Linked DNA regions of Chlamydomonas reinhardtii. Each later gene encodes a partner of the first gene's protein in a complex. Links are inferred from orthologs where the notes say so. Each region holds a gene or a part of one and is shown in the gene's direction. Other genes may lie near its edges.

Region 1 (3,943 bases):
ACGGCCGCGCACCCGGCCGGCTGCCGCCCATGGGCACGCCGCCGGTGGGGCTCACTGGCGCGGATACCATGCCCTCGAACAACAGCGATGCGCCTGCCGCCAGCAGTGTGCCCATGCCGCCACCGCCGGCCGTGGGCTTGGCGCCCAACCCACGCTCCAAGAATAAGTTGCCGCCGCTCATCCACGGCGGCGCCTCGAGCCCGGCCCTGGCGGCCACGGCAGCGGCGGCGCCGGGTGCGATTGCCAGCCCTGGCGCACCTGCACTGGCCCCGCCCGCCACGGCGAACCCGCAGGAGCGGGAGATCTTGGCGACATACACAGACGCTCTGCAGCGTTAAGTCCAATCGGGCTTACCTGCATACACGGTACAGAGCCAGGTGCTGTGTGCGGTGGAGGGTTCAGGGGCAGGCTACGGACGCGTTGACGTTTGTTTTACCTTATTGTGATGACATGTGTGCGACTCGCCGTGGCGCCGCCAAAGGGCCAGTGATTATCGTATTAGGACGGTGCCCGGACTACCAAGTGCATGTGAAGGAGTTAGGAGTGGGTGAGGGATGCAGATGCACGAAACCTGGGGGAACCTGCCCTGCACGGAACTGCATAGCCAGGTGGTAAGATATTAGGAGCACAGGGGACCGTGAGTGCCAGGCATCCTAGGGAACGAGCGCATCCTAGCTGCAAGCTAGGTGACGATGGGCCGTGAGGTTTGCGCTGCATGTCCTAGGTGACGGTGTTACAAGCAGGCGTGGTATGCAACGGGTGCGATAAGGGTGCGATGGGACATGGCAAGGGGCAGGTTGGCGTAGTCCAACGTGCAGTGGTTGCAATGGGACAGGGCAAAGTGGCTGATATAGCAGAGTCCCAAGAAACAAATTGCACCCAGCCCAAGCATCGACCTGCAATGGGTGTTGGATGACACTGTGCTTGAGCCCAACCTTCTTAACATTATCGCACAGGGGCCCTGGCAGAACGTCAGGGCTTTGGGCAGCAGGGACTCGAAGCGAGGAAGAGCCGGTATGCCTTCAGGCGGTACACGGCAAGAAGATGTGCAGCTCTTTGACGGCAAGCACGTGTAAGGTCCACGTGACCAATGAGCTCTCCAAGGCCGGATGCTAGCACTCCATGGCGCTACCGCCGCTACGTCAGGCTACAGGGGCAGGACATGAGCAAGCGGCTTCGGGGATCCGCGCCCTTTGCGCGGGGGTAAACAGGGTTGGCAACGTGTCAGCAGCCGTGGCACAACGCGACCCCGGCAATTTCGCTTGCTCGCTGACTAAGTGAAGAAATTTGTAGCAACAATAGGCATTTGGCAGGCAAAACGGGGAACGGGCGACGAGGGCGATACAAAATCATCCATTGCATGCGTGCACGAGGGAGTCGCGACTCTGCAAGCTCGAATGCTTCCACATGTCCTGTTGCTTTGATTACGTTGACGCGAAGAGCTAGGCATTACAGGGTGGCGCAAAGCCGCGCCTTGCGCTATTTCTTTTGTTCAGTCTGAGCTCGCTTTCTTCTTTACTCAAGCCCAGACATGTCCGCTCGGAGGGCCTTGACGCTGGCCCAGCCCCTAACAGGGCTATGGCCAGGCGCGCAGGAGTTTGCACGCAGCATCAGCACTAGCGTGGGCGCTCTGTCGGGGCCTCCCCCGCCCCCGCCTCCCCCGCCTCCGCCTTCGGACCACCTGGAGGTTTTTGTCAACGAGCAGCCTGTTAAGATACCGAAGGGCTCTTCGGTGCTGCAGGCGTGCGATGCGGCCGGTATCGACATTCCACGGTAGGGTGCAGAGCGCAGGGGCAGTGCAGAAATGCCAAATGATTTTCTGTGCACACCTAATACATCTCTGGCCCCCTTTTCAGCTTCTGCTACCACCAGCGCCTCTCGATTGCGGGCAACTGCCGGATGTGCCTCGTGGAGGTGCGTACCTGGAGTGCTTGATGCCGCAAATTGGGCTTAAAGTATAGAGCAGGCCGCTGACCCGATTGCATGGGGGTTGGTGGCTGCGTGCACAGGTTGAGAAGGTCCCCAAGCCCGTGGCATCCTGCGCGATGCCCGCGGGCCCGGGCATGAAGATTAAGACGGAGACGCCGATGGTGAAGAAGGCGCGCGAGGGCGTGATGGAGTTTCTGCTGGTGGGTGGTGCGCGGCGAGGCATGCAGGCAGGGGCAGCGTGGAGAGAGTGCAGCCTGGGGGTGGAGGGTGTTGGCCCCGGACCCATCAGGTCAGGTTGGAGCGGCTCGCCGGAGGCGGACGGGACTGGCGCTGGCGCGGCCGAGCATATTGCTGTGGAGACTGCTCGGGCTTGAAGAGAGGCGCATGGAGCTCTGGGCCGGCTGGTATCCGGCGAAGCAGCAGGGTGGCATGGGCTGCAGCCCCAGCCTGGCACGGCAACGTTGCCAGGAGCCGTAGGGAGGCGCAAGAGCAGGCCACTACCGTGGCGCAGGCCCGGGGCAAGCCAGCACGCAGCACACGCTGCACAAATGGCAGGGGCTGGGCTGCACCGCTGCCGTCATCGCTCGGACTTGAGGCCCCCAACACTGGCGGTGGACTCGTAGCGGACTGCCCCAGCCAGCTGACAGCGGGGGTCGGGCCAGAGCCGGAAGGGTTGGCGCCATGCGGGGTAATGCAACCCGTGACTTCAGGGTGGCATTGGCGGAATTACGTTGGCCAACTCCGGCGGCAGCTTGCCCGGCCTCTCCGGTCAGCTCCAGCTCAGCCCGTTCGCGTGCAGCTGGAATTTGCCTCACCCTCGAAGCCGCAATCCTGTGCCGTACCCACCCCGTAGTCCCCCCGCCACTGCCCACGCTCTCAGCCACACCCGCCCCCGCCCCGCCCTTTGCCGTGCAGATCAACCACCCGCTGGACTGCCCCATCTGCGACCAGGGCGGCGAGTGCGACCTGCAGGACCAGGCCATGATCTTCGGCAGCGACCGCTCGCGCTTCGTGGAGGCCAAGCGCGCGGTGGAGGACAAGAACCTGGGCCCGCTGGTCAAGACGGTCATGAACCGCTGCATCCACTGCACGCGGTAGGGCGGCGGGGGCGGCACAGGGGGGAGGAGGCACACGGGGGAGGGACACGGGGGAGGCACAAGGCAAAGAGTTTGGGGGGCGATGGAGGGGGTTGATGAGCAGTGGGGGCAACGGGGATGGGGAAGGGAGGCAAGGGTAGGAAAGTGGAAACGCAGGCAGCGGCTGGATGAGCAATGAGGGGAAAGGGTTGGGCAGCAGCAGCGGGGGAGGGGGAAGGAGGGATGGGGCATCAGCGACATGGTTACAAACGGTCCCGGCGCCCTGACCTTGCGATGCGTGCACCCCTGCGTTCGCGGTCTACAAAGACCATGCACTGGCGCTCACTAGGCAAAGCGTGGGAGGCAGCTTGGAGTAGCAGCATGTGCCGCCGCAAAAGCATTTAAAAGCGCAGGGCGGGATCCAGGGCTGGGACGAAGTCCCGACTGGAAGTACCTCTGCTGCCCACCTTTCGCCATTCCCCAACCGCCCCTTTCCTTGTCCGGCAACCCCGATGCGTGCAGCTGCGTGCGCTTCGCCAGCGAGGTGGCGGGCACGGCGGAGCTGGGCGTGACGGGGCGCGGCCGCGACAGCGAGATCGGCACGTACGTGGAGAAGCTGATGGGCTCGGAGCTGAGCGGCAACGTGGTGGACCTGTGCCCCGTGGGCGCGCTCACCTCCAAGCCTTACGCCTTCACGGCGCGCAGCTGGGAGCTCAAGGTGGGTGGGTGCTTGGGGAGGGCGAGGGGCAGGGGAGCGGGATAGGTGAATCCAAGTCCCAAAGAAAGCAAGGGGGGGCGAGGGGGGGAGGGGCGCACGATACGAGGGTGGGGGGAGGAGCGTGGTTTGGACAGGCGCGAAGGAAGGGCGTGGAGAGGGCGAGGTAAAGGGAGCGGAGGGAGGCACAGGTGAAGGTAGAGGTGGAGTGCGTGATGCTGGC
Region 2 (4,195 bases), on another chromosome or scaffold:
GGGGGCAAACGGAACACAGGGAGCATGTCTGGTCGGTGTCATGGGCCGGCTCAGCAAGGCGCTAGATTGGTGTTGCGGGGCAGGCCAGCACGCGCTGGCGACCCATGGCTGCTACACCCTCTGGCCACGAGGGCAACGACCAGGACACCTCACAAACACAGGCATCCCAAAAGCCGCGCGCGCACACGCGCGCCGCCACGCCACGCACCCTCGGCCGGGAAGCTGCCGCCTGCTGCTCCTCCCGCCCCCAGCGCCACGTCCAAGAGCTCGTGTGACACCGCCTCCCACTGCCGACCTAGTGCCGTGGCTGCCGCGGCTGCCGACGTGGGTTCCAAGGCACAGCTACTCGTGCCTCCAGCGCCTCCGGCGCCGCCTGTGCCCCGTCCCGCCAGGATTAGCAGCACGGTGTCGTGCAGGGCGCGCCACATGGGGGCCGCCTGGGCAGGAGAGCAAGGGCAGGCAAGTTGCAGGATGGCGGATGCAAAGCCAGATACGAAGTACGTACCACAGGGCCATCGAACTTAGCCTGGCGGACAGTCTCCGGCTCCAGCACGGCCACTCCATACTGTCGCAAGACTTTACAGAGGCTGGTAATAGCCAAGCGCGCTGAATTGGGCGGCCCGAGCTGCTGCTGCTGCTGCTGCTGCGGAGCGCTTCGTGCCGAAGCCATGTCGCCGCAGATAACCCGTGTATTCTTGCGTGTTGAAACGTCAATGCTGGCGCACGTCCTGAACTACATTATGAAATGTTGTAGGACCACTGAAATGCCGTGACGGCCAAGCTGTCGCTGACCTTCAGTTGTGCAGGAGTTGGTGCAGGACGCTTCTCCTGTTAATCATTTTGATATTGCATGAAATAGCTTTTTTGTGGAATTCTATGCAGTTTGCAGTGATTGCACGCAGGCAGGGTTTTGGCCAACCTCGATGATGGAGAAAGGTATAGCGAACCCCGCGCACCCTATGGTAAACGAACACGCACCTTATATCAAGGAACGGAAGGGGCTACACTCTGGCGGAGGCACAGTTGACGCTAGGGTGCTCTGCAGACATCGGGGCGTGCCAGGGCGTGCCAGGACGGGTTCTGACTCCCCCTGCCGACTAGCTTGCACGCCCGAGCTGTGCCCCACCCCTCCTCGACCCCTAGCAAGCATTATGCCTCAGCCCACCACAGAACAGCAAGGTCACCCCGTGGAGAGGCCGGAGGAGGGGCCACGTCTATCAAGTGAGTTGCCGACCCGATTGCAACATGCCCTCAGTTATCTAAGCTGGTGTAAAATATCGAAGGATTTCTCCCACGTTGCGGCTCGCTAGAGCTACTGAGTGCAATTGAGGGGATGCATGAGGGCGAGTTACTCGATCGCACAGTGCACTCCTTTGTAACTACTCAACTGGCTACATTTACTTAGGCAGAGAGCGTAAATACTTGGGGCGCCTGTAAGAGGCGAGAGTTTGCTTTCCGCAGGCCCATAATCAAAGGCCGCATACTTCTTTTGAGCAGCTAGCCTGCCACCATGCAGCGCACCGGTGGTCTGGTTAGCCAGCTTGCGGGAGCGCAGCTGACTGGCGCGCTGCAGGAGCTGAAGACTGGGTAAGGGATACGCTCGGGAGGGCAGCACCCGAGTCCGGTTGCTCTTAAGGAGGCCAGCTACACACCCTGTTTCAGCAATCTTTTAGCATGTTTGCGAGGATAGTATTTAGGCACGCGAGTAGCTTGCCGGAACGCCGTGTGGCGCGAGACCCGGCCACGTTGCTGCTCCAGGGCTCGCTCTCGTCGTAGCAACTTTGCGCATGCGCGACAATAAAAATATGGACTAGTATGGGCTGGACGACTTGCATTGACGGCGCTCTGGCTGGTGCATGCAGGGTGCTTCTGGCCTTCAGCACTGCCGCTCCCGCGGCTGGTGCTCCCCCTCCGCCTCCTCCGCCTCCTGCTAAGACCAGCTTTGGTGGTCTGAAGGATGAGGACCGCATTTTCCAGAACATTTACGGTCGCCATGACCTCAGCATCAAGGTGCGAGGCGTGCCAGCATCCGTCGCTGGTCGCGGGATCCTTCAGTGGGCTCCGCGCAGTCTAGTCAGTGCTGGGGAGGCTGCTATGGAGCTCAGGCGCGGGCACAGAGGGGCCGCTGGCTGGCGCAGGGCTGGCCGTGCCACGTTGCGGGGGGGGGGGGGTCGGGCGTGGCAGGCCAGGTGTCAGGACGCAGCGGTGGACGTGTGTGTCCGTTCGAGACACGTGCTGGGGTGTTGGAGATGTCGCCCAGCCCAAAGCATACGCTAAGATGTGTAGCTGGATTAGACACTGGGAGAGCTGACGCCTGACGATGAGCGGGGCTGATTTTCTCAATACCCTCAGGGCGCCATGTCCCGTGGCGACTGGTACATGACCAAGGAGATCATCGGGAAGGGCCGGGACTGGATCATCGACCAAATGAAGAAGTCGGGACTGCGCGGCCGCGGCGGCGCCGGCTTCCCCTCCGGCCTCAAGTGGAGCTTCATGCCCAAGGTGTGTGTTCACGGGCAGGGATGGGCCAGGATTGGGGTGTGTGGGTGGCCGTGTTGGGATGGGGGCCAAGATGGGTGTCTGGGGCTGGTGGCGTGGTCACGGTGGGGTGCTGGCTGAGGGGGGTTTGTCCATTCCAGTCACATGTGGACGGGGCGGGAGCGTGGAAAGGTGGGGTGCTACGGCATGCTGCGGTGAATGGGGACATGCCCCCGTCTGCTGCCTGCGTCTCGCCCACGCCCGCCCGGGCCTGCCCCAACCCCCCCCCCCCAACCCGGCCTCCACCTCACCGCCCCAGGCCTCTGACGGCCGCCCCAGCTACCTGGTGGTGAACGGCGACGAGTCGGAGCCGGGCACGTGCAAAGACCGCGAGATCATGCGCCACGAGCCGCACAAGCTGGTGGAGGGCTGCCTCATGGCGGGAGTGGCCATGGGCGCGCGCGCAGGCTACATCTACATCCGGTGGGTTGGGTTTGGGGTGGGAGGGGACGCGCAGGGGCAGGGGCTGGGGAAGGGGAGGGGGCGGTGTGGCGCGGGTGTGGAGGACGCGGCTGGGCTGGGAGCGTGGGATGGGATGGGAAGGGGTGTAGGGATGGACGGGGGCAGGCAGAGCGGGATGGAGCACTTTTGCTGTGGATGGCATAATTGTTTCGATAGCTTGATAGCTGCACGTACTGACATCATCGTCACATCCCACTCATATGGCTTTCATTGTTGATGTCTGCAGTGGCGAGTTCGTGCAAGAGCGCCGCGCTGTGGAGCGCGCCATTAGCGAGGCGTACGCCAAGGTGCGCTGCAGGAGGTGGACTGGCTGGGTGGGGTGCTGCAGGAGGCGGACTGGCTGGGCGGGGTGCTGAAGGAGGCGGACTGGCTGGGTGGGGTGCTGAAGGAGGCGGCAGGGGTGTATGCACAGGGAGCAGGGGCAACGTGAAGGGGGGGGGGTGGCAGGGATGTCAGCTGGGTGCGGCCGGGGCGGCAGCACGGCGGGCCGATGCGGATGAGGACGGGCGCGAGGAGGAGCGGAAAGCATTTAAGCCGATGGCAGTTTATGCGGCCGGAGGCTCCTGCCTAGGATGGAAACGCAGGCTACAGTTTCAAGCGGGGCGCAAGCTCCGGGGGAGGGGCACGAGTAGCTGGAGTGCCTCGGCAAGCTGCAAACGGGCACTTGAACTCGGTCTGACGCTACGGCGTATATCTGGGGCATGTCCGCACCTGCTGACCCCGCCCCTGACTCCCTCCTCCCTCGTTGGGCTCGGGCATGTAACCCGCCTGTTCCTCGCGCTGCTCCTGCTCACCTCTCCTCAGGGCTTCCTGGGCAAGAACGCGTGCGGCAGCGGTGTGGACTTTGACCTGATGGTGCACTACGGCGCCGGCGCCTACATCTGCGGCGAGGAGACGGCGCTGATCGAGTCGCTGGAGGGTGAGGAGCAGCAGGGGGTGGAGACGCGATGGACGGGGAGGGTGGGGTGGGGTGGCGCTGGGGAAAGGGAGGGCCGGGCCCGGGGCGCAAACTGGGTGCAGGTTGTTTCACGCGGCGGGAAATTAGGGCCTTGGCGGGAGGTGGGGAGCTGACCGGCGAAGCATGGGGCAGGACGTGCGCGAGCGTTATTGATCTGCCGCAGGCTCGGTTGTGGTGGCTGTGGCTGTACTGTTTGTCAACCGCTATGTGTCTGTGTGGTGCACTCCGCCGCCGCCG
Region 3 (4,203 bases), on another chromosome or scaffold:
GTGTCGCTGAAAGAAACAATCATGTTTACCGTATGCCATTTAAATTGAGCAGCAGGTGCCGCATAAATGGCGGCACAGCTGTAGCCTGGGCTACATGACTGTGTGCGTGGCACTGGTGCACCAAGCGCATCCTGCTTTTAGAGGGCAGCACGACTCGGCAAACGTGTAACATAAACCGTTGATTCACGCGTGTACTTGCGCTTTGGAAGTCTTGCGCATCTTTGAACGTGTGTGTATGTGTGTGGGGTGGGGGGTGGGGGGGCTCGGGTTTTGGTTGGCAGTGGGTGCAGGGGGGGATAATCTGTTGGCAGCCGCTGCACTGGCTGCAGTGTTGGCAGGGGAAGCACTTCTTAAGCATGAGGTGGCAAGGGAACATGGGCAGGGGGCTTCGTGACGTCGGGCAGAGTGAAGGACATACGCAGCAGTGAAAGCTGAGCCAGGAGTGTCCACTGTACACGTTGCATCGAACGTGTAGGGGGGGGATTGAGTTTGCTAACACCTGCGCGATCGAGAGTTGCGCAAGCAAACCTTGGCCTTGGACCGTGTGCTGGACAGGACACTGCACGCAACCACCTTCGCAATACAGGAAAAGGTAATAGTCACGATGAGCTCTGACAGTGGCGCGGGTCTTCCGCACGACCTGACACGACCCGGCCGACGAGCGTTTGCTGGTCGTGCGTGAGCAAATACCTCTTAGTCCTGCCTTTTACCTTGTGACAATACGACACAATGTCTCAAGGGGTGATAGCGCCAGCGGCAGCGCCCCGTCGACGAGCGCTGACGAGCGCTGCTGGCGCACAGGTCAGCTGTCAGTATTCACTGTCACCGCGCGCCTCCGCGCGTGAATCAAGACTTGCGCTTGCAGCGGGTTGATTGTTGAGCAAGCGGGTTGAGTGACCGACCGCACATGCGTGCGTTATCCACGCTGAACTGCCACGGAACCCTCGCGGCCTGTCCCTGCCTGCAAGGGCGCGTTCTTACTTCTTACCCTTATCACGCCTATCGCCTCACGTCAGAGGGCGGATCCGCGCACTAGAGGAGCAAACAGGGCGCCCGACGCAGCTCCTCTATGCTGCGATGCAGGGCGCCTTGTTTGCTCCTCCAGGGCGCGGATCCGCCCCCCGGACCTCCCCGCACACGGCCCTTGCCGGCCTTCGCAGCTTCGCCTGCTCATCGCACGCTGCACGCCGACACATGTCGCTCCTGTCTTGGTGCCGATATCATGCTTTTCGAACTCTTCACCATTGTGGCAATGCACTGCCCCGCTGTCGTCAATAGCGGGGAAGGGGGAGGGTGAGAAGCGGCTGGCCGTGGCCGCGCGGGTACGGCGTGCCGATTCCGGCGACCGGTCGTGCCACGATGCCACTTTGCCGCCAGGTCGCACAGGTGTGTTAACGTAGTCTAGGTGCATAGGGGCTTGCAAGAGCTTGACTAGTGCCGGCCAAGGCGACTCAGGAGAGGCACCAATTTCGCGACAAAATGCTGTCTAGGGCCCTGCTCCTCGCAGGGCGCCTCGCCGCGACTGGCCAGCAGCAGGCAGCTAGCACCTCGTCTCGCGCTGTCCAGCCGCTAGGCTCGCTGCTGCAGCGGTGCAACTTTGCCACCAACTCGACCGATATCTTCAACATTCACAAGGACACGCCAGAGAACAATGCTGCGACCAGCTTTGAGTTTAGCGAGGCAAGCGAAAGAGAGGCGTGGAAGGGCTGTCAGGCACACACAGAAGGAAACGCGTGCATCAGCCCAACACTCTCTACCTGCTTGACCTGGTGCGCACCGTGCATGCAGGCTACTCTGAAAGTTGTCAACGATATCATCGCGCGGTACCCGCCGAACTACAAGCAGAGCGCCATCATTCCGGTGCTGGACGTCACGCAGCAGGAGAACGGCGGGTGGCTGAGCCTCGCGGCCATGAACCGTGTGGCTAAGCTGCTGGACATGGCGCCCATCCGCGTGTATGAAGTGGCCACCTTCTACACCATGTTCAACCGCACGAAAATTGGCAAGTACCACGTGCAGATTTGCGGCACCACTCCTTGCAGGTAAGCAAAGGGTGTCGCCTCCCAGTGGAGGGGCTGCTGGGTTAGCCGGGCACAGCGGCGGCGGTGCAGGGCCACGTCGAGGAAGGTGAAGGGGGAGGAGGGAAGGCGGGCGTGGAGGGAGACAGAGCACGGGGACTGGGTTCGTCCGGCACGCGGGGCGTGCGGTGTCGCCTACGAACAGCGGGGTCTGCAGCGCCATCCACAGGCGTGCCGGAGCGCTGGCATGCCGGGGCCCCAACCATATTCGGCCTTCACGGCTGGACTCCGGACGCCCGTGCCAGTGGGCCCTTGCCCAGCCCCCGCGACTGCATACGCACATGCGCATCGCGTCGCCCAACCCCACTCACCCGGAACCTGGGCTTCCCTCCATCTGCGCCTCTCATTCTTAAACACACACACGTACACAGGCTGCAGGGCTCCCAGAAGATTGAGGAGGCCATCACCAAGCACCTCGGCATCGGCATCGGCCAGACCACGCAGGACGGGCTGTTCACACTGGGCGAGATGGAGTGCATGGGCGCTTGCGTGAACGCGCCCATGGTGGCCATCGCCGACTACACCAAGGTGCGGAGGAGCGTTGGAGCGCGTGGGAGTGCGGGGTGTTGGGTGTGCGGGATAGCGAGGGGTAGCGACGCTAGGGGCTGAGGTTGCAGCGCAGTACGGTATGTGCTCGTTTAGGTTTATGGAGTAGTGTACGTCGCGCGTGGGAGCGGCTGGGCGCGTGCTATAGCCAGGATTTGTCGGCTGGCCGTCATTGCACAACCGGCCTGCCCCGCCCATTCAGTGCGCGAGTCTTATCGTAAACCGCTGCTGCCAACGCGCCCCTTGTGTGCTTGCATCTAAACTACCACTGCTGCCGCACGGCTGCAGGGTGTGTCGGGCTTTGAGTACATCTACTACGAGGACCTGACGCCCAAGGACATTGTCAACATCCTGGACACCATCAAGAAGGGAGGCAAGCCCAAGGTGCGCGGGCGGGGGAGATGAGGGGCCGCAACCGGGCATGAGCGCGGGGCGCCCGCACAGGTCTGCGGTGCGTGCACTGTGGGGATGGAGGCTCGCGACACGGGTCGCATTGCGGCCGGGTGCATTGCCCTGCACACCCGCAACCCTCCAACGACCGCTTCGCTGCCCCTTTTCCTGCCTCATCGCAGCCTGGGTCTCAGTACCGCTTGAAGGCGGAGCCCGCCGGCGCCGTGCACGGCGGCGAGAAGTGGGTGCCCAAGGACGGCGAGACCACGCTGACGGGGGCACCCCGCGCGCCCTACTGCCGTGACCTGAACGCCACCGCGTAATCGGCCGTGCTCGTGGCGGTGGAAGATATGGCAAGCGTGCGGGCGTGCTGTGGGATGCAGCGTGTCTGGAGCGGCGGAGGGCGGGCCAAAATGGTCCATGGTGTGGGTGTGGAGGTCGTGGTGGCGGTATGCGACGGCAGCTCTTACGGATGGCAGGGTGCGCTGGGCGCTCAGGTGCCACATTGGCGGAGTGCCGCAGGAGGTGTGGCTCTTGCAGAAGGGCAGTGGCTTATGTCTGACTAGAATTTAGCTTAGAATGGACTTGAGGGGTATGTGTGAGGAGCTTTTACGTATGTGTGGGGCTTTATGTGGATACGTGCGTGGACGCAAGCAGGAAGAACATGTGACTAGCTTTGTACGGGCATGCCGGCGCAGGGTTGCCGCCTTGCAGGAAAAGCTTCGACTTTGTACGGGCATGGCGGCGCAGGGCTGACGCCTTGCAGAAAAAGCTTCGACTTGAATGGAGGCCACACGATTTCCTTTCCGCTCTGGTCTACGTACGCATTAGTTCCGCAACGCACGTCGACAACGATTGCCTTGGAACGCCAGCGAGGCTGGGCGAGCACGGTGGTGCGCGTCTGGGCCTGCAGCATTCCCATATGCAGCTTGGGTCATATCATAGTCTTGTTCGTGTGCGCCGGTCGGGTCAGGGGTAAATCCAAGCGGCATCTTGCGCCACGGCGCCAAGGGGGGAGGGGGGGACTGCACGATCGTGCAGGCCTCGGCTGGAAGACTCCATGCACACCCAGACTGGCGTTGCTATCATACCATAGCTTAGCTACTTGGCTCTATCAAGTTTTACGTTGTTGACACTCGGCAATACCAGCCTCGAAGCCATTTGAACCTCTGCAGAACTTGACTGACCG
Region 4 (4,297 bases), on another chromosome or scaffold:
AGCTCCACCCTGTCTGGCTGCAGTGATACACCACCTGCTGACAGAGACACGCCGCCTGCCGCCTGTCCCTCACGTCCCCACCCATCCCCGCCCGTCCTCGCACCGCCGCACCACGACACAAACCAGACTCTGCCAGCCGCCCCCTCCAGCTCTCCAGCTCCCCGGCGCGTTCAGCTGCCTTGCAAACATGACGTGCTAACCCGCGCGCCCCACAACCCCGCGGCTCTCTGCCCCCCACACACACACACTCCGTTCATTGCGCTTGGAGTTAACGGACCCCTACCGCCCCTCCACCACCCACTTCCACCACCACGCCCTCCCCCCAGCGCTCCCATCCGCCTCTCACCTTGGCCACCTTGAGCGCCACGCGGTACTTCTGGCCCAGCTTCTCCAGCTCCGCCAGCACGCAGTCGGTGATGCAGGGCTTGCACTCGGCGTACAGGCAGTCCACCATGCCGCGGACCAGGTCGATCTGGGTCAGGGGAGGGAGGGAGTGGGGGAGGCGGAGTTTGCGATGTGGGTTGGGAGGGAGGCGGCAGCAGAATGGCTACGGTATATGTGAAGTATGCTGTGCCGCGCTGTGCGGGTTGCTGCAGGTGGTGGCAAGAGGGACGAGACAGGCTGCTAGGTGCTGAGACGGCGCCCCAGCAATACTGCGACGTGTTTCCTTCGCCGCTGCCGCGACCGGCCCTCGCCCGGCCCCTGCCAACGCTTCAACCGGGCACGCAGACTAGCATAGTGCTCGCTAGACCCTTGGTGTTCTGCCCCAGCCCCAGCGCACCTTGTTCTTGATGGAGAAGTTGATAAAGTTGGTGTCCACCAGCACCTGATACGGCGGCCCCAGCTGCGTGTTGTAGCGGAAGAACAGCGCCGACGACACCTTCTCACTGCAGCACCACGTGGGCAGCAACAGGGAGGTGACAAGTCGGGAGCAGCATGATGTGTGAGAGCATGCCCAACGATTGACGCTCAGGGTTTTGGCTGTGGCCAGCGTGCTAGGGCAGAGCGCCGCTGCTGCACTCACACGTGGCGGACCTCGTCCTCCTTCTTCTCCGTCTTCTGACGCTTGGCCGGCGGTCTGCAATGAAGCGTGACGTCAGGCCGTGACGCTGGCTCAGCTGGGGACGGGGGGCCGCCGCGACTGCGCGACTTACTCTGCGTCCTTTGGGTTCAGCATCCGCTTCACCTCGGCAAATTTCCGGGTCTTCTTCATTTTCCCCATTCTTGTAAGCTTTTAGCGAGTAAGATGTAAGGTCTGAGCTTGGCAGAAACGCGAATTCGGCTCAGCGCGTCAGTTCTGTGGAGGCGGCAGGCGAAGGGTTGTGCTAAATGATTCACGGTGATGTGCAAGGCAGTCCTTTGAGTTATTGTTTGCTAATCATTTTTGACTTGGGGCTAGGCCAGCATAACAAAGAGCACAGACGGAAATGCTGCATGGGGCCGGTGGGGCGATTTGGTTTAGTGCTGCGGGTGCACCACCGGACGGAAGTGCACAAACTATAGAATAGCAAGATAAACGCTACCGAAGGGCCCAAGCGTGGGAGAAGGCTCTTGGCAGGGTTTTGCGTTGTTCGGCCCCTAGCGGCTTACTGAGCACCATGGCTTGGCGCAACTCTCTTTCCAAGAGCATGCAGGAGCTTAGGTGCGGCTATCTTAGCCCAGGACCAGCTCTGCGCTGATTGCGCCTTCTCGGAACTAGAAGACTGAGCCTGCGCGCTTTCTAATCGCAGGATTCACCTGTGCCAGACTTCGGCGGGGAGCAAGGGTGTTCGGTAAGTGAGCGGGAAGGCGTGCTCCGGTGAGCAAATGTCCTCACGCCGGATGCTGCACGCACTCGCGCAGGGACTTCATCGTTGCTAACTATGCGGAGATGAAGAAGGCGAACCCGCACTTCCCCATCCTCATCCGCGAGTGCGCGGGCACCGAGGCGTCGCTCACAGCGCGCTACGGTGAGCCCAGGGTTAGGGGGGAGTCGCTGTCTCGTGTCAGGGGGCTGGCGCGACCAACGCATCCATCAGCGGGACCTGGAGCAGGCCCCACCTGCTGCATACACGCCGCGAGGGGCGACCTCTAGCAACCTTGGCTTACGGCCGCACACGGTTTGCAACCCCACCTAACGTCCGCCTGCCCCCCTGCCCCCCGGCACACATACACATACGCAGACTTCGGCGCTGAGAAGTCGGTCAACGTACAGGGCGCCACGACGGGGGCGGTGCAGCAGCAGCTGGAGCAGCTCATCCTGGCGGGCCAGTCTATGCCCAAGTGGGTGGGGGCCTGCGGGCGCGGTGTGAAGTGGGGGGCGCGCGCAGTGTGAAGTGGGGTGGACCAGGCGGGGTCGGAGGGGAGCGGGAGGCGGCGGCAAGTCATGGGAGACGGAGGGGTGGGGTGGGGAACGGAAGAGGCGGGGCGGAACAGCACAGGAGAGGCGGGGTGCAGCTCGCTGCATAGGGCGCTGGGCGGTGGATCCGGTGATGGACGCAGCGCAGCGGCCTAGATGTGCTTGGGTAAGGATGGACCGCCGTCCATGAATCGTGCTCTGGGTGTTGTGTGACAGGGTGAGGGTTTTGCCGGCGCCTCCCTGTAAGCGCCTCCCTGGGTGGCGCGGGCAGAACCCTCAACCGACTGCACAACGCACAGAACGTGACGTAAGGCCGGCGGTCCGTCCTTGACGGGAGCCAGCAGCGCCCTGGGTGCAGGGAGCGTGGACGCGGGTCGCCTGGCCTGAGCTCAGGGGGTCGTCACGCGCGGAGCTATTGCTGGGGCGCATTCACGCGACCATTCGCGTGAACGCATTCAAGCAGCTCTTCCATGCTTTTACATGCCAGGTGGCGGCACGAGCACCAGCTACAGCTAATTGATCTCGTTGCGCTGTACTGCACGTGGCGACCGTCCCTAATCTGCGGTGTGGCGCCTTGCTGTGCTCATGTCGCGCTGCGATGCAGGTCCGGCGAGTAAGCGCGCAGTGGCGAAGATCTTGGGCGACAGGCCGCCTTCAGGGCCCAGCTTTAAGTGCGGCAGGGTGCTGCGTGGAATGCTGGGCCATCGACGGCCGATCCCTTTGACACGCGCCGCTGCCAGTTGTGGCCGGCAGTGATGTATCAGCAGCTGAATGTGGAGCGATGCAAAATATCCGGCGCGCTACGTGCCGTGGCTTATCACGTGAAAGGGCAGATGGAGCTTGCAAGTTGCAAGGCGAGGCGGGCTGTTACAGATTTGAGTCTGGCTTCCGAGGTTCGAGTGTACGCCACTTTGGAATTTAGCACCACCTTTGCGGGTTAACCTTTCGATGAGTGGTCCGTAGTACTTAAGCAAATAGGTATAATAGCAACCCCAAGTCCCCGAGGGCTCGGGCTGGGCCAACGGCGCATGTGTGCAGGCGTGTCCGGCCGGGCGGTGTAGAGCGTGCATGCTATTCTTATTCAAAACGACGGCACGATGCGTTGTGCTAACAAAATGTAAACGTGCACGGTACCTACACGAGCCTCACTTATCTACAGCACAGACAAGCACGCACCACAGAAACAAAAACACAGACATGCCCGCATGGCCCTGCTACCAAGGTGTGTCACGTCTCCAGCAGTCCCAACAAACATAACCATGCTCCCGCCAACGCCTCACGTCAACATTACGTCAACAAATGCACACCCAGTTAACTCAAATGCCCCTGTCAACACTTAGCAACATGTACGGCAGCCTCCCGGCTTGTTGTGCGCTGACCACCCAGCCTCCTCCTGCGCCGCTGCTCACTGGCTGGGGTCGTTCACGGTGCCCACGAACGCGGGCAGGCCGGTGGGGGTGTGCATGATGATGAAGGCGAAGGGGCGGTTGAAAATGAACTCGGGCGTGGGCATCGGCAGCGCACAGCGCAGCATCATGACGGCGGTGGCGGCGGCCGCCACCGTGCCCTCCTCGTCCACCTCCACCACGGCCTGCGCAGCAGCAACAGGCAAAGGCAACGTTCGTTTGGCACAGGGGACGTTCGTTCGGTGGTTGACGAGTCCGTGCCAGGAGAGGAGCGCCAGGGAAGATGCAGGCAGGCTACCCTTCAATCTGGTGACCAGAGAGAGGGCTGAAGGACCATGGGCTCGCCCAGGGCCCCATGCTGCATCGGCTGCCCCCCGCCCGCACACACTCTATCGCCATCCTGGCACCATGCATACCGTACCATCGATGCATCCATGCGCGCCCTTACCTTGTGAACGACGTCGCTGACAAACATCTTGGTGTCGCTGAGGCGGCTGAAGTCGGCGCTACCTCCGAATGCCTGCTTGACGCCGAGCTTGTGCAGCACGGTCTT
Region 5 (4,089 bases), about 1.4 Mb from region 1:
ACACGTGCGCGTGCGACACCGCTCGCAACATGGCGGACTGAGGTCACACCCACCTGCGGCGGCGTGATGGGCGTGAGCTGCCGCTGCAGTGCCGCCCCGGCTGCGCCGCCTTCGCGCGCTGGGGTGAGGGAGAACGGCCTCCGCTGCCGGAGCGGCTCCACCCTACAGGGTACAAGATGAGGCAAGAGCATAATGCTTGCACGCGCAACTGGTCGGAGGGTGGGACCGCGTGGCACCATGCACGCATGCAGCAGTACATGGCGACAAGCCAGGCAACAACACTGTCAGCACGGCAGAATACTTACTTGGCCGGCGGGGGCGCAAGCCCGTACAGCTTCCGCTTGTTGCCGGTCACGTTATCCTGACTGCATGCATGATGGCCACAAGACAGGACAAGCTACGTGGTTAGCAAGGAGCGTGGAAGCATGGACCAGGCCCCAACCCCCGCCGCTCTCTTGACGTTGCCACTCACACTCTCACGGCTGCCTGGGAGTTGCGCCAGCGGACCAGCGTGTCCAGGGCTCGCCCGCTGAACACCAGCGGCAGCAGCCACAGCAACAGCTCTGTGCACCAGGTGAAAGGGCATGTCGGCCCAAACAGGAACTACCTTGAGCGACACCGCACACAACCTCACCCCTGCGTTTCTTAAGCGTGAGCCCCGCATAGAGCGTGTCCCTCCCGCTGTGGTGCCCCACCCACGTATTGCTGCCAACGTGCAATGCGCTTCACCCGTCACAACCCCCACCGGCGCAGCATGCTTCCCAGTAGCTCTGGCCCGCGCTAACTGTGCTATCCCCCTTCCACCCTGCAGACGCCCCCCCTGTGTCGACCGGCTCCACTCCACCCCGACTCACGGAAAACCAGGCGCAGCCATGGCACTGGCAGAAGCGATACGAGTGTAGATCTGTGCGCATAAGAAAATGGGCAAGCTGTTTAAAAGAAAGCCCGTGGAGACAGCCACCATGGCGGGAACCCGTCCTTTGAGCTAGTTTGAGCGCCGTGTATATGACAGTCATTCGCTGACCTTGAATTTAATGCAGCAACCGAGATCACTGTAAGGAGCGCATCGAGGCCTACGCTACGAGCAGCTTTCGGTGTGCGCACCACAGGCGCAACGACCGTATTGGCCCCGCTAGGGTCAGTATTCCATCGTGCCATTCTAAGTACGCATAGTAAATTTTCCAGTCTGGGCAAACAAAACTAAACACAAAGGTTGGGGCCCCCATTCCCATGCACAGTGGACATTGCGCTGGGGCTTGCGCAGGGCTCGGACATCTAGTCATTTTATACTGCAAAGACTGCTGGAGCTCCCCACTTGGGTGCTGTGACTGTAGGCCTTGCCGATTGAGAGTTTGCCTGGCAGGCCAACCCAGGGAGTCCGCCCTGAGGAGTGTCGCGACTTAACGTTAGGTCATACGATTAGGTCATACTTGCTCAAGAAGCTGTAGCCATGTCGTCCCGACTTGCTCAGAAGGCAGTGGAGGTCGCGCACCAGGACAAGCGCCTGTTCGGGGGTGCTGCTCGGCATTTCTACTTTGAGGTGGGCTGCGATGCCATGGGAGCCATGCCCGGGGCTGCTGCTGCTGGCGTGGGGATGTCACGCCGAGTCTCGCAGAGTGGCATGCCCAGACCCTTAGCGAGGACGTGCAGTCAACAAGCACTGCCGGTTGCGTCGCAGATTTGCCGGTGCTTGCCGTTCATTCAGCGGCTGCACAAAATGGAGGAGATGGTGTCGCTGAAGGAGCTGCGTGCCATCGTTAAGGAGAAGTTCAAGGAGTACAAGGACGTCAAGGACGGGCGGGTGGGTCGCGCCCATGTTGCATGCACAGCAACCGAACGCGGGAGGACAGCGGAGTGGGGGGGTGGGACGGAGCGGGGGGGGGGGGTAAACTGGTAAAGGCGCAGCGGGCTGGGGCTGGGGCTGGGGCAGCGGTCTTGAGCAGGTGGGGCTGATGCTGAACGGGGCTTTGCTGTCGCCCGAATGCGTGCAGGTGGTGGACCTGCTCATCTTCAAGGGCCGCGAGGAGATTGAGGTGAGAGCCAAGATGCCGGGGCTTCTCTGCCAACCCTGTGGCCAGGGTGCTGGGCCTACATCGGGCGTGCCGATATAGCTCGTGCTGACTGGCGCCGTGGTGCTGACCGCGGACCGCCGCCTACTGCCGCCCCTGCCCCGCCCCCGGCGCAGACCTACCTGCTCATGCACAAGCAGCGGCACCACGTGGTGAGCGGGGCCCCGCCCTGGCGGCTGGGGACTGGCGCTGGTGCCAGGCGTGTAGTTGCTAGGTGGATGGGCAGCGCAGCTCACTCCCGCAGGGCGTTGCGGGCAGTGGCAGCGCAGCCTGAGCCGTGGGAGCGCCGCCGCTGGTGCACCACCCCCACACTCCCACTCCACTCTGACATACACGTGTATTGGGTGCGATTCTTGTTGGCAAACAATACTTCGCACGCACGGTGTCGGCCCCATTTTCCTTGCGCTTTCCTATTAATCATACAAGTTATACAACACACCGCCGCTACACAACAGGTGACGGAGGTGGTGGAGCCCTATTACGCCAAGCAGCGCGCGGTGAAGAAGGTGACCACGAACAGCCCCTTCCTGGACAGCTTCCTGTCGTCCGGTTACGCGGCCATTGGCGTGCGCAACTCATAAACGAGAACAGCGACAGCGGACAGGGCGCACGGTACAGCGCGGCTTCTGAGATTGAGGCGGCGACGGGAGTGAGCTATCTGGCTGGTGCTGGAGGATGTTGTGAAGGGTATGTGGGGAGGGTTTCCACAACACACCATTTTGGAGGCGCGCAGTGGCGTGTGGTAGTGGCCGCCGGCTGAAGCTAGGGCTGGTTGGTGACGGCTGTGGTGCTGGACGATTTACAGCTGGTCGGGCAAAGCCTGGCCGGCACTGGCTTATGATGACGAGATAATGAGTAGGGATTACGCATAGGCTTGTGTTAGCTGTTGACAGGGCAACGGCAGAGTGCTGCGTTGCTAAGCTGTCTGAGCAGGGAATTGAGGGATGTAGAGGCGTAGAGACACGTGCAAGCAGCTTACAGGATGACTTCGGCAAGCTTTTATACTAGCATTGATCACAAGAATGGACAAGCGTCCATGCATTAGTTTAAGCTGTGTTCACACTTGCAACGAGAATGGCTTGAGGCATGCCTAGCGCGCGTACGCGTAGAGCAGGTGCTGCGCGTATGGCATGCGCTGGTCGGGCGCAAACGCTTGCCCCGACGTGTGCTTGTGCGAGGTGGGGCTCTGCGGGCTGACGTTGTAAGCGTATGTATCAGCTGGTGTCACCGGAGTGGGAGCGACAGCAGGCCATGCGCTCGGTGACTGCTGGTGCGGAGCAACTGACTGCAGCTGCTGATACGGGCCTGGCGCTGGGTGGTACCCCATGGCTGCATGGGCGTGCGGCGACGGCGGCGCGGCTGTGTGGCTTGGGTAGGCGTAGAACGACATCGTGCCAAGCGCGCTCACCGACCCCAGACTTGCACGCAGTGGCTGCTGCTGCTGCGGCTGCAGCTGCTGCGTCTGATGCGCCGGGCTGGCAGCAAACTGCGGGTCCCCACTGTAGCCAGCCGGAGGGTAGTAGGATGCTGGCGGCGCAGCCGCCCAGTGGCCGAGTGTCTGCCCTTGCAGCTGCGCGGATGGCGGGTGTGACCAGGGCTGCGGCGAGGAGCGCGCCGGCGGCCCCGCCGTCGTGTAGTGCTGCGGTGAAGCCATCGCCTGCAGGTAGGCCGGCCAGTGGCTGCTGCCCGCAACCGGCTGACCGTATCCTGGCGTCAGTCCCACGTGCGTGCCGCCAGACGGAACCGACGGCGTGGAGTGCCACTGCGGCTGCGGCTGCTGCCCCGCAGGGGCAGGAGCTGACGGCGGCTGAGGCGGGGCGCTGCGCATATGCGTCAGCGGCGGCCCGCCCGCCATGAGGGATCCCACGGGCGGCCGCGGCGATGCGGGCGGCTGTAGCAGCATGCCGGTGCCCATGCCCACCGGCGACGAGGCGGGCAGCTGGTGGCTGTAGCCGCCACCGTAAGGGTAGTGCGGCGAGCTGACGGCACCCGCCCATGTGCCCTGTGCGTAGCCGTTGCC

What was found.
Region 2: the proteins of CHLRE_12g535950v5 (region 1) and CHLRE_10g422600v5 are in contact, whole or in part, in a cryo-EM structure (PDB 7AQR), measured with the Arabidopsis thaliana proteins. The link is inferred for Chlamydomonas reinhardtii from reciprocal best matches to the Arabidopsis thaliana genes EMB1467 and CI51. Residues at the interface, in NP_568550.1 of Arabidopsis thaliana: Gly115, Asn116, Cys117, Arg118, Leu121, Lys129, Pro130, Ala135, Met136, Pro137, Lys153, Ala154, Glu156, Gly157, Val158, Glu160, Phe161, Leu162, Met164, Asn165, Arg194, Phe195, Glu197, Met198, Arg200, Ile219, Gln220, Ile239, Gly241, Arg242; in NP_196470.1 of Arabidopsis thaliana: Gly225, Ala226, Gln243, Lys245, Leu248, Pro250, His399, Glu400, Ser401, Cys402, Gly403, Gln404, Cys405, Thr406, Pro407, Arg409, Glu410, Gly411, Trp414, Met417, Ile418, Arg421, Met434, Glu437, Val438, Lys440, Gln441, Ile442, Gly444, His445.
Region 3: the proteins of CHLRE_12g535950v5 (region 1) and CHLRE_10g450400v5 are in contact, whole or in part, in a cryo-EM structure (PDB 8BED), measured with the Arabidopsis thaliana proteins. The link is inferred for Chlamydomonas reinhardtii from reciprocal best matches to the Arabidopsis thaliana genes EMB1467 and AT4G02580. Residues at the interface, in NP_568550.1 of Arabidopsis thaliana: Val203, Lys205, Val225, Ser229, Gln235, Asp236, Leu237, Gly238, Ile239, Leu240, Gly241, Arg242, Gly245, Glu246, Glu247, Gly249, Thr250, Tyr251, Val252, Glu253; in NP_567244.1 of Arabidopsis thaliana: Asn33, Tyr34, His35, Leu36, Val90, Met93, Ala103, Ile105, Arg106, Tyr108, Glu109, Thr112, Phe113, Tyr114, Ser115, Arg119.
Region 4: the proteins of CHLRE_12g535950v5 (region 1) and CHLRE_16g679500v5 are in contact, whole or in part, in a cryo-EM structure (PDB 8BED), measured with the Arabidopsis thaliana proteins. The link is inferred for Chlamydomonas reinhardtii from reciprocal best matches to the Arabidopsis thaliana genes EMB1467 and AT5G47890. Residues at the interface, in NP_568550.1 of Arabidopsis thaliana: Lys397, Asn401, Arg402, Met403, Gly404, Asp406, Asp418, Ala419, Asp420, Leu421, Arg422, Tyr425, Leu563, Asp564, Gly566, Gln570, Arg679, Lys681, Ser682, Val683, Pro685, Asn686, His689, Glu692, Glu694, Pro695, Ala696, Ala697, Phe698, Ser701; in NP_199600.1 of Arabidopsis thaliana: Lys12, Glu13, Arg15, Leu17, Leu18, Gln20, Arg29, Val32, Glu33, Tyr36, Lys37, Lys40, Ser41, Lys45, Leu46, Pro47, Ile48, Leu49, Ile50, Arg51, Glu52, Cys53, Ser54, Val56, Trp61, Arg63, Met66, Gly67, Glu69.
Region 5: the proteins of CHLRE_12g535950v5 (region 1) and CHLRE_12g555250v5 are in contact, whole or in part, in a cryo-EM structure (PDB 8BED), measured with the Arabidopsis thaliana proteins. The link is inferred for Chlamydomonas reinhardtii from reciprocal best matches to the Arabidopsis thaliana genes EMB1467 and AT3G12260. Residues at the interface, in NP_568550.1 of Arabidopsis thaliana: Trp361, Arg362, Leu365, Ser621, Pro645, Thr646, Ala650, Arg651, Asp652, Trp654, Lys655, Ile656, Arg658, Ala659, Glu662, Val663, Asn671; in NP_566416.1 of Arabidopsis thaliana: Lys120, Thr121, Phe123, Leu124, Phe127, Tyr128, Thr129, Ser130, Asn131, Tyr132, Phe133.

What each region holds. Positions count from the first base shown.
Region 1 is NC_057015.1:6,125,585-6,129,527, reverse strand, and holds the start of CHLRE_12g535950v5 (uncharacterized protein), read left to right. Parts: upstream 1-1,142; 5' UTR 1,143-1,531; coding exon 1,532-1,773; intron 1,774-1,856; coding exon 1,857-1,914; intron 1,915-2,009; coding exon 2,010-2,129; intron 2,130-2,844; coding exon 2,845-3,023; intron 3,024-3,527; coding exon 3,528-3,723; intron 3,724-3,943. Other genes in the region: CHLRE_12g536000v5 (uncharacterized protein), read left to right, coding at 1-338.
Region 2 is NC_057013.1:718,699-722,893, reverse strand, and holds the start of CHLRE_10g422600v5 (uncharacterized protein), read left to right. Parts: upstream 1-1,394; 5' UTR 1,395-1,510; coding exon 1,511-1,587; intron 1,588-1,862; coding exon 1,863-2,010; intron 2,011-2,352; coding exon 2,353-2,502; intron 2,503-2,797; coding exon 2,798-2,961; intron 2,962-3,226; coding exon 3,227-3,287; intron 3,288-3,804; coding exon 3,805-3,919; intron 3,920-4,195. Other genes in the region: CHLRE_10g422650v5 (uncharacterized protein), read right to left, coding at 209-437, 506-670. UniProt on the Arabidopsis thaliana protein: Core subunit of the mitochondrial membrane respiratory chain NADH dehydrogenase (Complex I) that is believed to belong to the minimal assembly required for catalysis. Complex I functions in the transfer of electrons from NADH to the respiratory chain.
Region 3 is NC_057013.1:4,251,229-4,255,431, reverse strand, and holds CHLRE_10g450400v5 (uncharacterized protein), read left to right. Parts: upstream 1-1,401; 5' UTR 1,402-1,479; coding exon 1,480-1,680; intron 1,681-1,788; coding exon 1,789-2,042; intron 2,043-2,449; coding exon 2,450-2,606; intron 2,607-2,912; coding exon 2,913-3,008; intron 3,009-3,196; coding exon 3,197-3,337; 3' UTR 3,338-3,956; downstream 3,957-4,203. UniProt on the Arabidopsis thaliana protein: Core subunit of the mitochondrial membrane respiratory chain NADH dehydrogenase (Complex I) that is believed to belong to the minimal assembly required for catalysis. Complex I functions in the transfer of electrons from NADH to the respiratory chain.
Region 4 is NC_057019.1:5,636,774-5,641,070, reverse strand, and holds CHLRE_16g679500v5 (uncharacterized protein), read left to right. Parts: upstream 1-1,494; 5' UTR 1,495-1,598; coding exon 1,599-1,642; intron 1,643-1,730; coding exon 1,731-1,772; intron 1,773-1,842; coding exon 1,843-1,949; intron 1,950-2,162; coding exon 2,163-2,262; intron 2,263-2,942; coding exon 2,943-2,955; 3' UTR 2,956-4,010; downstream 4,011-4,297. Other genes in the region: CHLRE_16g679450v5 (uncharacterized protein), read right to left, coding at 347-472, 782-887, 1,025-1,078, 1,155-1,222; CHLRE_16g679550v5 (uncharacterized protein), read right to left, coding at 4,039-4,050, 4,193-4,297. UniProt on the Arabidopsis thaliana protein: Accessory subunit of the mitochondrial membrane respiratory chain NADH dehydrogenase (Complex I), that is believed not to be involved in catalysis. Complex I functions in the transfer of electrons from NADH to the respiratory chain.
Region 5 is NC_057015.1:7,575,551-7,579,639, reverse strand, and holds CHLRE_12g555250v5 (uncharacterized protein), read left to right. Parts: upstream 1-1,289; 5' UTR 1,290-1,450; coding exon 1,451-1,540; intron 1,541-1,678; coding exon 1,679-1,801; intron 1,802-1,991; coding exon 1,992-2,033; intron 2,034-2,185; coding exon 2,186-2,221; intron 2,222-2,524; coding exon 2,525-2,650; 3' UTR 2,651-3,845; downstream 3,846-4,089. Other genes in the region: CHLRE_12g555200v5 (uncharacterized protein), read right to left, coding at 54-162, 306-365, 473-563, 855-904, 1,025-1,158; CHLRE_12g555300v5 (uncharacterized protein), read right to left, coding at 3,903-4,015. UniProt on the Arabidopsis thaliana protein: Accessory subunit of the mitochondrial membrane respiratory chain NADH dehydrogenase (Complex I), that is believed to be not involved in catalysis. Complex I functions in the transfer of electrons from NADH to the respiratory chain.